Xenopus tropicalis: one gene and its partners. The protein of the gene in region 3 interacts with the protein of the main gene of each other region in a pairwise test. Links are inferred from orthologs where the notes say so. Each region holds a gene or a part of one and is shown on either strand. Other genes may lie near its edges.

Evidence for each region.
Region 1: the proteins of bcl2l13 (region 3) and plp1 interact in binary tests that used the Homo sapiens proteins (3 or more experiments, as listed by UniProt). The two-hybrid records come from large-scale screens. The link is inferred for Xenopus tropicalis from reciprocal best matches to the Homo sapiens genes BCL2L13 and PLP1.
Region 2: the proteins of bcl2l13 (region 3) and pln interact in binary tests that used the Homo sapiens proteins (3 or more experiments, as listed by UniProt). The two-hybrid records come from large-scale screens. The link is inferred for Xenopus tropicalis from reciprocal best matches to the Homo sapiens genes BCL2L13 and PLN.

Annotation. Positions count from the first base shown.
Region 1 is NC_030684.2:37,565,962-37,569,619, forward strand, and holds part of plp1 (myelin proteolipid protein), read right to left. Parts: intron 3,314-3,658; exon of another isoform or gene 3,137-3,313; coding exon 3,071-3,136; exon of another isoform or gene 3,048-3,070; intron 2,236-3,047; exon of another isoform or gene 2,057-2,235; intron 647-2,056; coding exon 569-646; 3' UTR 1-568.
Region 2 is NC_030681.2:73,815,248-73,818,906, forward strand, and holds the start of pln (cardiac phospholamban), read right to left. Parts: upstream 2,870-3,659; 5' UTR 2,763-2,869; intron 1-2,762. UniProt on the Homo sapiens protein: Reversibly inhibits the activity of ATP2A2/SERCA2 in cardiac sarcoplasmic reticulum by decreasing the apparent affinity of the ATPase for Ca(2+).
Region 3 is NC_030679.2:8,692,621-8,696,278, forward strand, and holds part of bcl2l13 (bcl-2-like protein 13), read right to left. Parts: intron 3,333-3,658; coding exon 3,225-3,332; intron 2,687-3,224; coding exon 2,530-2,686; intron 2,002-2,529; coding exon 1,932-2,001; intron 1,166-1,931; coding exon 1,022-1,165; intron 1-1,021. UniProt on the Homo sapiens protein: May promote the activation of caspase-3 and apoptosis.

The DNA of each region.
Region 1 (3,658 bases), on a different chromosome or scaffold from region 3:
ATTAGCATTATGTCATCAGTTATGATTTTATCTGGTTTCGACTACCCTACTGTAAGAAATTTGCCGAAAAGAAACAGTATTTTCTTGTCTGTAATAGGTTTTAGAGATCTCTTTAAACAACAAATACGACACTGTTGTAATTCATGTCCCTCAGACCTGGAGTATTTTGATGTATTTGCTCCTGTCAACTGTTAAAAAGGAATTTTTTGGTGACAAGATTGAGTAGAAAATGTTAGCCTCAGTCTCATTTTTGTAACTTCTAGGTGGCAAATGTGCGGTCCTACAGTTGTTGCTGACTCAGAGATATGAGTGGTGGAGAATGGCATCCCTGCTTAGTACACTTTGAGTAGTTCCTACTTGTTCTATTAGATTAAGCCAAGAGTTTAGGGAAACCAAGGGCAGATACAGATTTTCCATGGAAAGCACCAGCCATGTTATCTAGATTCCTAAGCAAACAAACAAAAATAAGAATTCAAAAACAAAAGGAAAACATGAACATTATAATCATATAAATAAAATCATGAATTCGGGATTCTGCTTTGGTTTTTATCAACCACAGACTTGAAGTCTAAAACTTTGAGCGATCGCTCCGGCCAGTAACTCGAAGCACAGCATAGTTGAATGATGCGCCTACCATATAAGTGAGCTGCAAAGAAAATGTACAGGAGAGAAAATATACAATATATCAATATAATACATAATTATATATGATGTTATTATCCAGTTATGGTTTAAATAGAAACCATAGAAAGTTCTTGTTGAATGGGCTTAGGATACATCATTCCAGGCCAGAAAAGCTATAAGCAGTAGTTTTTCCATGTTAGTCCATGGAATATTAGAAAATGATATGCCTTAGTTAGTATTCTTTCAAAGCAGAGGCCTATCCTACATTTTGTCACATTTACCAATCTATAGTTCCAAGACTAGCAAAAACAGTATAAAATCATTAGAAATCTCACCCGTACTAAAAGATTAGTGGAAGGAGAGGGTCATACTTCAGAAAGACGGGCTATGTTGGTGTTGTTTACACTGGAAAAATGGCCCTTAATATGATAAATATGTATAAATATAAGGGGACCATATAATAAACTCTCTGGTGCTTTATTAACCAGTAGCTTATTGCAACAGACTTTAGGACACCCTTTGAGATTAGATTAGAATAGAATAGATTAGAAGGAGGTTCCATCTTAATTTTTCTAATTAAGATCTGTGAAATTATGGAAGTGGTTTTACTACTACTCATATATTAGATTTATGAATGAGTTGGATGACTTTTTAGAAACTGAGAAAATACAGGGCTTCTGAAAATAGCTTTTAGTACAAGTCGATCCAGAGACTGGTCTGATTTGCCATCTTGGAGTCAGGAATGAATATAGTCTTTACTTTATATATTTCACATTAAAAGCATGCACGCCTACTACAAAAAAAAGCATGCCCCACTAAATGTTAAACAAATCGACACAGTTAGTAAATAAAAGCAGGACTACACTGATAAGTTTTTCATTCTAGGTTGATATGGAAAAGTTGTATGAGTGGCTGTTTATAAAGATACTAGATTATTAAATTCCATGACGCAAATTTAAGCAAGGTTGCAATACATGATAGCACCTTGGAGCAATTTTTTATCAAATGGGTGGAAAGCATTTTTGGCCCGTGGGCATTATATTTCTGTAATTGTCTGAAATATTGTGTTACACACTCAGAAGAAGAAGCATTTATGCTGTATTATAGCAGTTATAGGGACACACACAAGACAACAGGGACATATGACACAGATATATATATATATATTGTGGTAGAGTGACTCAACAAATGAGAGAAAAGGTGAGTTTTCCCTTCAAGTTCCCCATAGTGGGAGATGATAAACCGAGAAGGTTTGCTCTGTTTAAAAGGTTGTGCTGTCTGGCCCTGAAAGCTATAGGGTTCTGGAAGGAACAAACGGATCAGGCGATCCATTCCAGTAGTCCAGCTCACCTATTGGAGCATACTTTCCACAGGAAGGCTGTCCTGTGGAAAAGGTATTTAATGGTATAGAAAGGTGTGAGACAGTCTCTCAGAGCAGAGCACAGAGCAGGAAGGACACCTCTCTGTGTTAGGACTCCCAGAGGGGCTGGGGGTGCTGCCTGCCACTACCAGAAGCAGAAAGAGCCCAGAATTGAGAAAGCTGCCAAGAGACTGAGGATCTAAGGAGCTAAAAGGAAAGCCAGGAGGCTGAGCTAATTCCCCAGAAGTGTTGTGAGTACAGGGGTGACCCCAACATTTGTGTTTTCCCACTGGTAGTCCACAAGGGGCCCAGGTTAGTGAGGGAACTAATCTAATGTGTGAAGGTAGCGCCCAGAGGGCAGGATTTATTTTTATGATTTGTTTTGTATGCTGCAATGGGCACCCCTGTGTAAATAAACTGCCTTAAAGCCAAGAAAGTGTCTGTCCTGGATCCCGCTAGTTTACAATAAATATATATATATATATATATATATATATATATAGGAACATTATCTATCTCTATATCTCTATTACCCTTCCTATGCCATGCAATATATGAGACATGATAGCATAGACAAATATCACAATACATAGTAGGTGTTCATAGGAATTTACTTCACTTCATTGTGAAACAAGAAATTCTTCTTTCTGTGAAACAATAGGTTTACATTCCATTTATAAGAAGGTTTTATCTTGTGACTTAAATTGACACCATGGGATTTAATACATTTTGTGCTGAGAACATTCCTTAACTGCATATTTGACACTTTAACATACAGAAGTGAAGTTGCTCCTGAGGTACAGCTCTGTATGAAATGCTGCAACAGAGACTGCTATTGGTCTTACAGACCCTCGTTATGGAGAAATGTCAGGGTTGCCTAAGAAGTAGTTAGTAGCATGGCACCACTCTTTCATACAAATAGTGCAGTATACAAATTCATATATGTAAAGTATTTGTAGACAGTGCTGTGCCTTCATATTTATGTTATATTTAAAATAAATTACACAGGATATTAAAAAAGTGTGTTTTCCATTTAAAGTGTACATCTGTATATTATTTGCAGGGCTAAGTACAAAGTAAACTCACCAGGGCCACAAGAGTTGCAGCTGCACCCACAAATGCCGCAATGAAAAGGTGAAATGTCATCTGGAACTGTAAGAAAACAAGAACAGTCATCACCTTGTAGCAAGTATGCAAAATCACTAAATTCCATAGGGTTCACAACCTGTGGGGTAGGGTTCAAGGTGCAAAAAACAAGCACAAACCGCCATGTTTGGTTTTCACACTTTGCACAATGAATACAGGTTAATAAAGAGATGTGTGCATTCAGCAGTGCTGTATTCATGAAGGATGGGCTTGGAAGGGATGTAGGTGCTGCACAGGTCAGGACCTGCAGCTCAAGCAAGTTCAGGCCAGACTGGTTGTGGGCCCATAGCAGGTTAAAATCTGTTCTAAGCCACATCCTACCTGTGACATCAGTGCATTCCAATTCCCAACAAACCAAGGGGAGATACTGTGAGGCTCAATAATAAACACTGGGCAAATTTGCACCTGGGCAGTAACCCATACCAACAAATCAGCTGCAAGTTGAACACTGAAAGCAATCATCTGATTGGTTGCCATGAGTTTCTGCCCAGGTGCAAATTTGCCCAACGTTTATAAATGACCCTTGTG
Region 2 (3,659 bases), on a different chromosome or scaffold from region 3:
AACAAAAAAAAAAAAAAAGTCTTAATTCATGTTATATCAGGAAAGAGTTGTATACTATGAGTTATTTGCATCCTCTGAAATATTTTAACACAAAAATCAAACTACACACAATTCTAAATGCATATGTGTAGCCCATTTATATCACAGGCTCATTCAGATATGTCCATGAAGCAAAAAATAACTTAGAGGACTGCATCTAGCCCATGGGCCTCCAGCTGGACAGACCGTTTGATGTGCAGATTACCAAAAGTAAATATCTACTGAATTTCAAATTCATTGTAGTGTAGAGGCATTGTACTGATGAGTTAAGGTTATAAGTTATATACTGTTTTTAGAAAAAGATACTTGTTTCCATTTTTGTGTAAGATCCTTGTCTGAGAGATGATTCATTATTAAAGCTATTGCTTAGTAAAGCCTAGGAGGCATTCCAGCATTTGTCTTGATTTTTTTGGCCAGCAAAAGTATAATTTTTTTTCCCATTCGGCTCTTCACATAAGATACGTTTGTAAAAGGTCATGGTTAAATAAATTCAAGTGAACAAACACAAGTAAGTTCATTCATGAAGCTTACAGTGACAGCAAAGTGTAATAAGGGTGTATTCTTTTTATTATTGTAATAAACTTTTACATTTGTCTTTCAAAACAATTTTATCATGCTTTATATAGGAGGTGGGTTAACCCACTTATTAAAATGTTTCTTTTCCACTATTTTTTTTTTTTTTTTTTTAAACTTGAAATCGTTACAAAGAAATAAAATAAGGCTGATGCAAGAATGCCCCTTCATAGTTTACTAAAGCCCTTGGGTAGGCTAAAGATCATATTGGATTTGGAAAAGGTCACCAGTGGAGAAATTATGAAACTATTTGTGCTGTTTGTTATGTGGGATAGCTTGTACTCCCTGAGCCATGGCCAATAGTCCCTTACTCCGCCTGGCTCTTGAAATTATTCCTGGTAAACAAAAGGATTATGTTATTAGGTATTAACTACTGCTTGGCCAGGAATGTCACAAACAACACTCCCCTCTAAAGTAAAGTATTTCATGATCTTGGGCTAGCCATTAAGTCAAATTCTGGAGGTTTGTAGATTGCCCAAACTTGGCCTTACTTCTTATGTAAAAGCAACATTTGGATGCAGATTGCTGCATTGGATTTTAACCACATTTGTTTTATTTGCATTTGAAGGATATCTAGTTTGATGGCACACAGTGTGATTTTTATTTTACCCTTTTTATCTGGTTGAAAAGCACCCAAAATCAGCTCCTCCCTTTGACATGAAAGTTTCATGAAAAGACTGCAACATTATAATTAGTGTTGTACATGCAGGTAAAATACAGCTAATATATAGCTGAATATCCATCTAAAAATAGAAGAAATTATTACACTTATAAATTATTGTGTATTTCCACAATATTTGTTTCAATCTATATATGTATCACATACCCTGAAGAAGGAAGGTCATACCCCCTTGGTCACTATTGGTGTTGGGTAAATTAAAATTGGACTGTTTGAGTCCTGATCTTTTATTTAAATGGTAAATGGCTGGCCAGGTATCCAGGGAACATGTTGCACCACCAACAGTGACTATTTATAGTGGTATTTATATTTTGCATAATGAGCCATTTTGATGTTCTATATTCTGTGTTGCCTGCTGGTGAACTGAGCTGAAACATGTCATGCTGATCTGAAGATGCACTCCCTCTGGACAGTGTTCATCTGTGGTAAATGTGTACACTGGGAAGTGCATCACCAACAGCAAGACAAATGCCTGTATATACAGAGCTTAAAGAAAACAACTAGCTAAAGCTTTGCTCATTTATATACAGGGTGCAAAGTCTCAAGACTCTATCTCTTTAAAATTGCTCGTCTGCAGATCTAAACAGAGTAAGCAATTACAGTGAGCCATAGAGCATTCAAAAAGTTGCTATGTGGGCCACTTTTTGCCCTTGTGATACTATATAGGAAATATAGGCTATGGTGCTCAGACTTACTTTCCAGTTTCCAACACTCTACTAAAATATTTCCCCCTACTTTTTTTTTCTTTGTGCTGTAATGCCTCAATTACATTTCCTTCCATAGTTTTTGGCTTGGTTTCCAGGCTAAATGCCTATGAGAACCTTTCTCATTAACATTTTGACCTCCCCATGCTATCACAAACATGCTTCCCAGCATTAGAAATACATGACTATTTCCAGTGTTTATTTGCATTCAGCAGCCCTAAAAATAATACATCTGAAGTTCCAAGACATGGGGAACTGATGAGTTTGACAAATGTATTCCATTATTCTATTGACATACATTAAAGTATTTTCTTACAATAAATATAATTTACATTATATACTGTTCTACAGACGTCAAAGAGCCCATCCAGCTGTTAAAAGCTATATTTCCCAGAACCCCCTAGAATGCTGGCAGCTGTCTGTTAAAAGAGCAATATTTTTACAGCCCACAAGGGACATAATTGTCTGTGAGACAGTCAGCTAAATATAATATGGATGCTGCATATCTTTGCAAATAATCCCAAGCTTATACAACTGGTTGTAATACCTTTCTTTTTCTTTTATTAGCTGAAAATAGGAATTCCAAATAAATGAATTGCAGACTGAAAATTAAAACCTACTCATATCACTTACATGTAAATTAGATGACAATTTTAGTTGCAGACTGAAATGTATGTATCAGGATAAAGCTGCTTTGATCTGCAAGCCAACATGCAAAGCATGTTAAAAAGCAATATTATTTAGTTTCACAGTGCAGATGCCCTTACCTTATTGAAATTTTGTTGTTAGTAAGTAGTTTTGCAGTGGGAAGTGTTCGGCAGCTTGCCTTGAGCTCAGTGGCAGGGCTGGGGGCTGTCGCTCAGTTTATTACAACAATTGAGGAGGTGTGGAAATGAGAGAGTGAGGGGTGGTTGGAAGCAGAATCGCAGTGAGAGGCAGGACTCCTGATATTTGGAAAGAATTTTGCAGTTTGTTGTTAAGATTGGCTGTGGTTTCCTTCCTTAGAATTAATCAAAAGTTCCCTTAGAGTGAGATGAACTGATAAAACATAATAATTGTTATGTGCCTGCAAGTTCTCTGTTGCAGTTCTTCCCATAAACGAATGGGCTATTTGATTGACATAGTTCTAAAAATGCAAATCAACTGTTGTTTACCTAATTATCTGCACTAAAGTTTTTGGATAAAAGCTGTAAGAAAATACTAGCTTAAGATAAAACATGTTCATTTGGGACCACTAATATAATTATAGATTATATTTTTTGTGTATGTGAAATCTTGCATTTGTTTTACCGACTTCTCTTTCTGTTCTGCTACAAGTGGTTGTGTACTTGTTTCTTCTTATTAACAATGGACTTTGCAGAAAAATGTATTGTCACACTTGTGTGAAAAAGCTTTATTGTGGCAGTTAAAATGCAAAGTATTTCTTAATGGCAAGCATTATTAACAAGCCATGTAAAGGTTTAGGGCTCTGGCACACGGGGAGATTAGTCGCCCGCGGCAAAACTCCCTGTTCGCGGGTGACTTACATGTTCGCCGGTGGGATGCAGGGGGAAGGCAACTCGGAGAGATTGGTCGCCCGCGAACATGGAGTTTTGCCGCGGGCGACTAATCTCCCCGTGTGCCAGAGCCCTTAGGAGTGGTCCCAAACCACTGGTTTGGGAGCA
Region 3 (3,658 bases):
TAACCACTAAATAAACCCAATAGGGCTGTTCTGCCCCCAATAAGGGGTAATTATATCTTAGTTGGGATCAAGTACAGGTACTGTTTTATTATTACAGAGAAAGGGAATCATTTAACCATTAAATAAACCCAATAGGGCTGTTCTGCCCCCAATAAGGGGTAATTATATCTTAGTTGGGATCAAGTACAGGTACTGTTTTATTATTACAGAGAAAAGGGAATCATTTAACCATTAAATAAACCCAATAGGGCTGTTCTGCCCCCAATAAGGGGTAATTATATCTTAGTTGGGATCAAGTACAGGTACTGTTTTATTATTACAGAGAAAAGGGAATCATTTAACCATTAAATAAACCCAATAGGGCTGTTCTGCCCCCAATAAGGGGTAATTATATCTTAGTTGGGATCAAGTACAGGTACTGTTTTATTATTACAGAGAAAAGGGAATCATTTAACCATTAAATAAACCCAATAGGGCTGTTCTGCCCCAATAAGGGGTAATTATATCTTAGTTGGGATCAAGTACAGGTACTGTTTTATTATTACAGAGAAAAGGGAATCATTTAACCATTAAATAAACCCAATAGGGCTGTTCTGCCCCCAATAAGGGGTAATTATATCTTAGTTGGGATCAACTACAGGTACTGTTTTATTATTACAGAGAAAAGGGAATCATTTAACCATTAAATAAACCCAATAGGGCTGTTCTGCCCCCAATAAGGGGTAATTATATCTTAGTTGGGATCAAGTACAGGTACTGGTTTATTATTACAGAGAAATTTGAAAAAATGTAATTATTTGATTAAAATGGAGTCTATGGGAGATGGGCTTCCGGTCATTCGGAACTTTCTGGATAATGGGTTTCTGGATAAGGGATTCCCATACCTGTACTACCAACATCACTACCCATCAACCTATGCCTCTCTGGCTGTTGCTGAACTATAACTCTCTACGTCGCAGTGCTTTAGCTTATGTTAAACGTCGCTGCCGTACACAGAGGTAGGTACCCAATCAGGACTTACCCATCCTCCCTGCTGGATAATAAAGTCCGCACACATGTCCTCTATGTAACTGACCCCCAGCTGGACGAGGGCCTTTAGTTGATACTCCCCTCGCCTCGTCAGCTCTAGGAGAAGCTGCTGCAGCAGGACCAGTGGGGCAAGAACCTGAAAGAGGAAGACGATCCAATCACATTGCAGCTCTATGGAGACCCAAGTCACCTACCAGTCCCATAGGGGTTTCTAACCTGGCCAATAGATATCTGGGCAATTATCGGGCAGCTATAAGTCTAGCTGGCCATTGGAAAAGCTAATAAGCTGCTGTTATCGGCCTGCGTGTAGCAGATACAGAGCCTGAGGGCAGGGAGGCACTAGTAACGCTGACAGATTGGCTCTGACACACAGGTAAGTACCTCCTGGGCCTCAGGGCATTAAATCAAGTGAGGCTCAATGGGGGAGAGTTCATCCCCTAAGGGAGAGGCATCGGTACATTCTAATTTCCCAGTATGGATCACCGGCACAGTTCATACATATATCAGAACGTAGGCCAGTACTATGGCTCGGTTGGCAAATAATGAGTGGCTCTATGCCCAGTCTTGCCTGCTATACCCTGGGCCAAATCCAGCTGATCCAATAGCTAATGTGGTCCTTAACCAACTGGATTTTTTAATCGGCTAGACATGGTTTAACCACCTTAAAAAGGCATAAGGGGTTATTTAATAAAAGGCACTAATTTGCCCAGGAGCATTACCCCATAGCAACCAATCAGCAGGTCCTGGTCACCTGTTTAACAGCAAACATCTAATTGGTTGCTATGGGTTACTGCTCCTGGGCAAAGGTAGTGCCTTTTATTACATATGGGGCATAGTGTATTGGCCCTCCCTTTGTTTGCACCCATACTGGAAGTTATGTGTGCGACGTGGGGACTACTTACCTTATTCCAGCCAGTGGCGTGTACACTAATGAGCGCCACCGCCTTCCTGAACTCTTCCGCCGCCAGGCTCCTGTTACAGTAAGGACACCATTAGCTCTTCATTTCCCCTTCGTTTCCCATGCACTTAAATCAATTATGGAGATGCTGATACAGAAGGCCATGACTGGCAGCTTCACCCCATACTGTGAGGGCAAAAGGCTGGAAAACCAGGACCCAATACATATTGCAGAAATATGGCGGGGGGGGGGGTTAGGGTTATGTTCAACAGGGCCTTAGGTGTTACTTGCCCTTTAAATGTTAAAGCCAAGAGCACCTTTAAAAATAATTGGCCCCAGGGTTGGACTGGGGGGTGAAGGGCCCACCGGGGCTCCCACCCCAGGGGCCCTTCAGGTGCCCGCGCCGCCCCCCCACCTGACAATCAAGGAATGATTATGGGCAGTCCCTCTAAATCCAAGTAGAGGAACCAACATCAGAAAGGTGTGGGGCAAAAGGGGGCAACTTTATAGGTATGGATTTTTATTGCCACAGGACTGTGGTACCTACCTAGGTCGGAAGCTGCCCAGGAGCTATACAATATTGTGGCACCACTGGCACTTACCCGCTCAGGAGACCCTCGGAGGCTTTATCCAGCGACTCTCGGATCTCCGTGGCAAGTTTCTCGCAGAGGTGGGACAGGCACTCCTCTATAGAGGTCTCCGAGCTCGCTGGGTAGAAGACCGGGGACGTGTGCATATCAAACCCAGTGGAGGGGAACGCTGGAAGAGAAGAAGAACATAAACTTCTTGATACCCAATGCCAGGGAAGGGGGGGCTCATTCACTGCTTTATCATTAAGCAGCCAATATGTACTAGTGGGGCGATGTATGTTCATATGGCCATGACCCACCCAACCCTTTACATGACTTGCCCAATCATTGTCCTGTCTGCAGTCTGGGCCTGCTCCTGTTTCATCTGGGCTGCCTCCTTGTACCTCCCCATGATGGCCCAGAGTGCAATAATGATTGGTTTGGGACCATCAACTGTAGCTACAAATATAGCCCCAGGCTGATCTTTAGGCCTTGGGTTGGACTGGGCCGGCAGGACACCAGGAAAAAACCCAGACCCAATCTCCGCCTGCCCTTCCCCATCACTCCCCTTCTGCCTTCCCTCCGCCGATTGTGGCAAAGTAAGTATAAAGTGCTCAGGGGGGCAGGATCTGGGCAGCAGTTACCCCAGAGTGGGTAATAGCCCTTGGACACCCCAAGTCCAACCCTTAATACAGAGTTGGTTATTTTCCTTTTAAAGGGATACTGACCAGCCGAGATCTCATCCTCCAGCCTCTGCATCTCGTCTTCTCGCTCAGCCTTCAGTCTGTCTAGCGCCCCCTGGGGCAGGGTAGGAGGAACTGCAGAATGTTGGGCGCCTGTAGTCGTGAGAAGTAAACATATGTGTTACATGCAGGAATAATAATAATAATAATACAGCACTCAAAGCAATAAACTATTAGTGAGAAGTCATTGCATACATGGGAGCTGCCATACAGCTTAGATATAACAACAAGCTATATGGCTTTTTGATAGTGCTGGTCTGTAGCCAGGGGTAAATCAAACACAATCAGGAGTAAATAGGGAGCGAGGCAGCGCATCAGTGACCCCGGGAGAAGATGACTGCAGCAGACAGGCTGTCATAGCCAATAAGAAGCCAAGCAGAAAACACAAGGGCGGCACAGGCAGCTGACAATGCAATTCA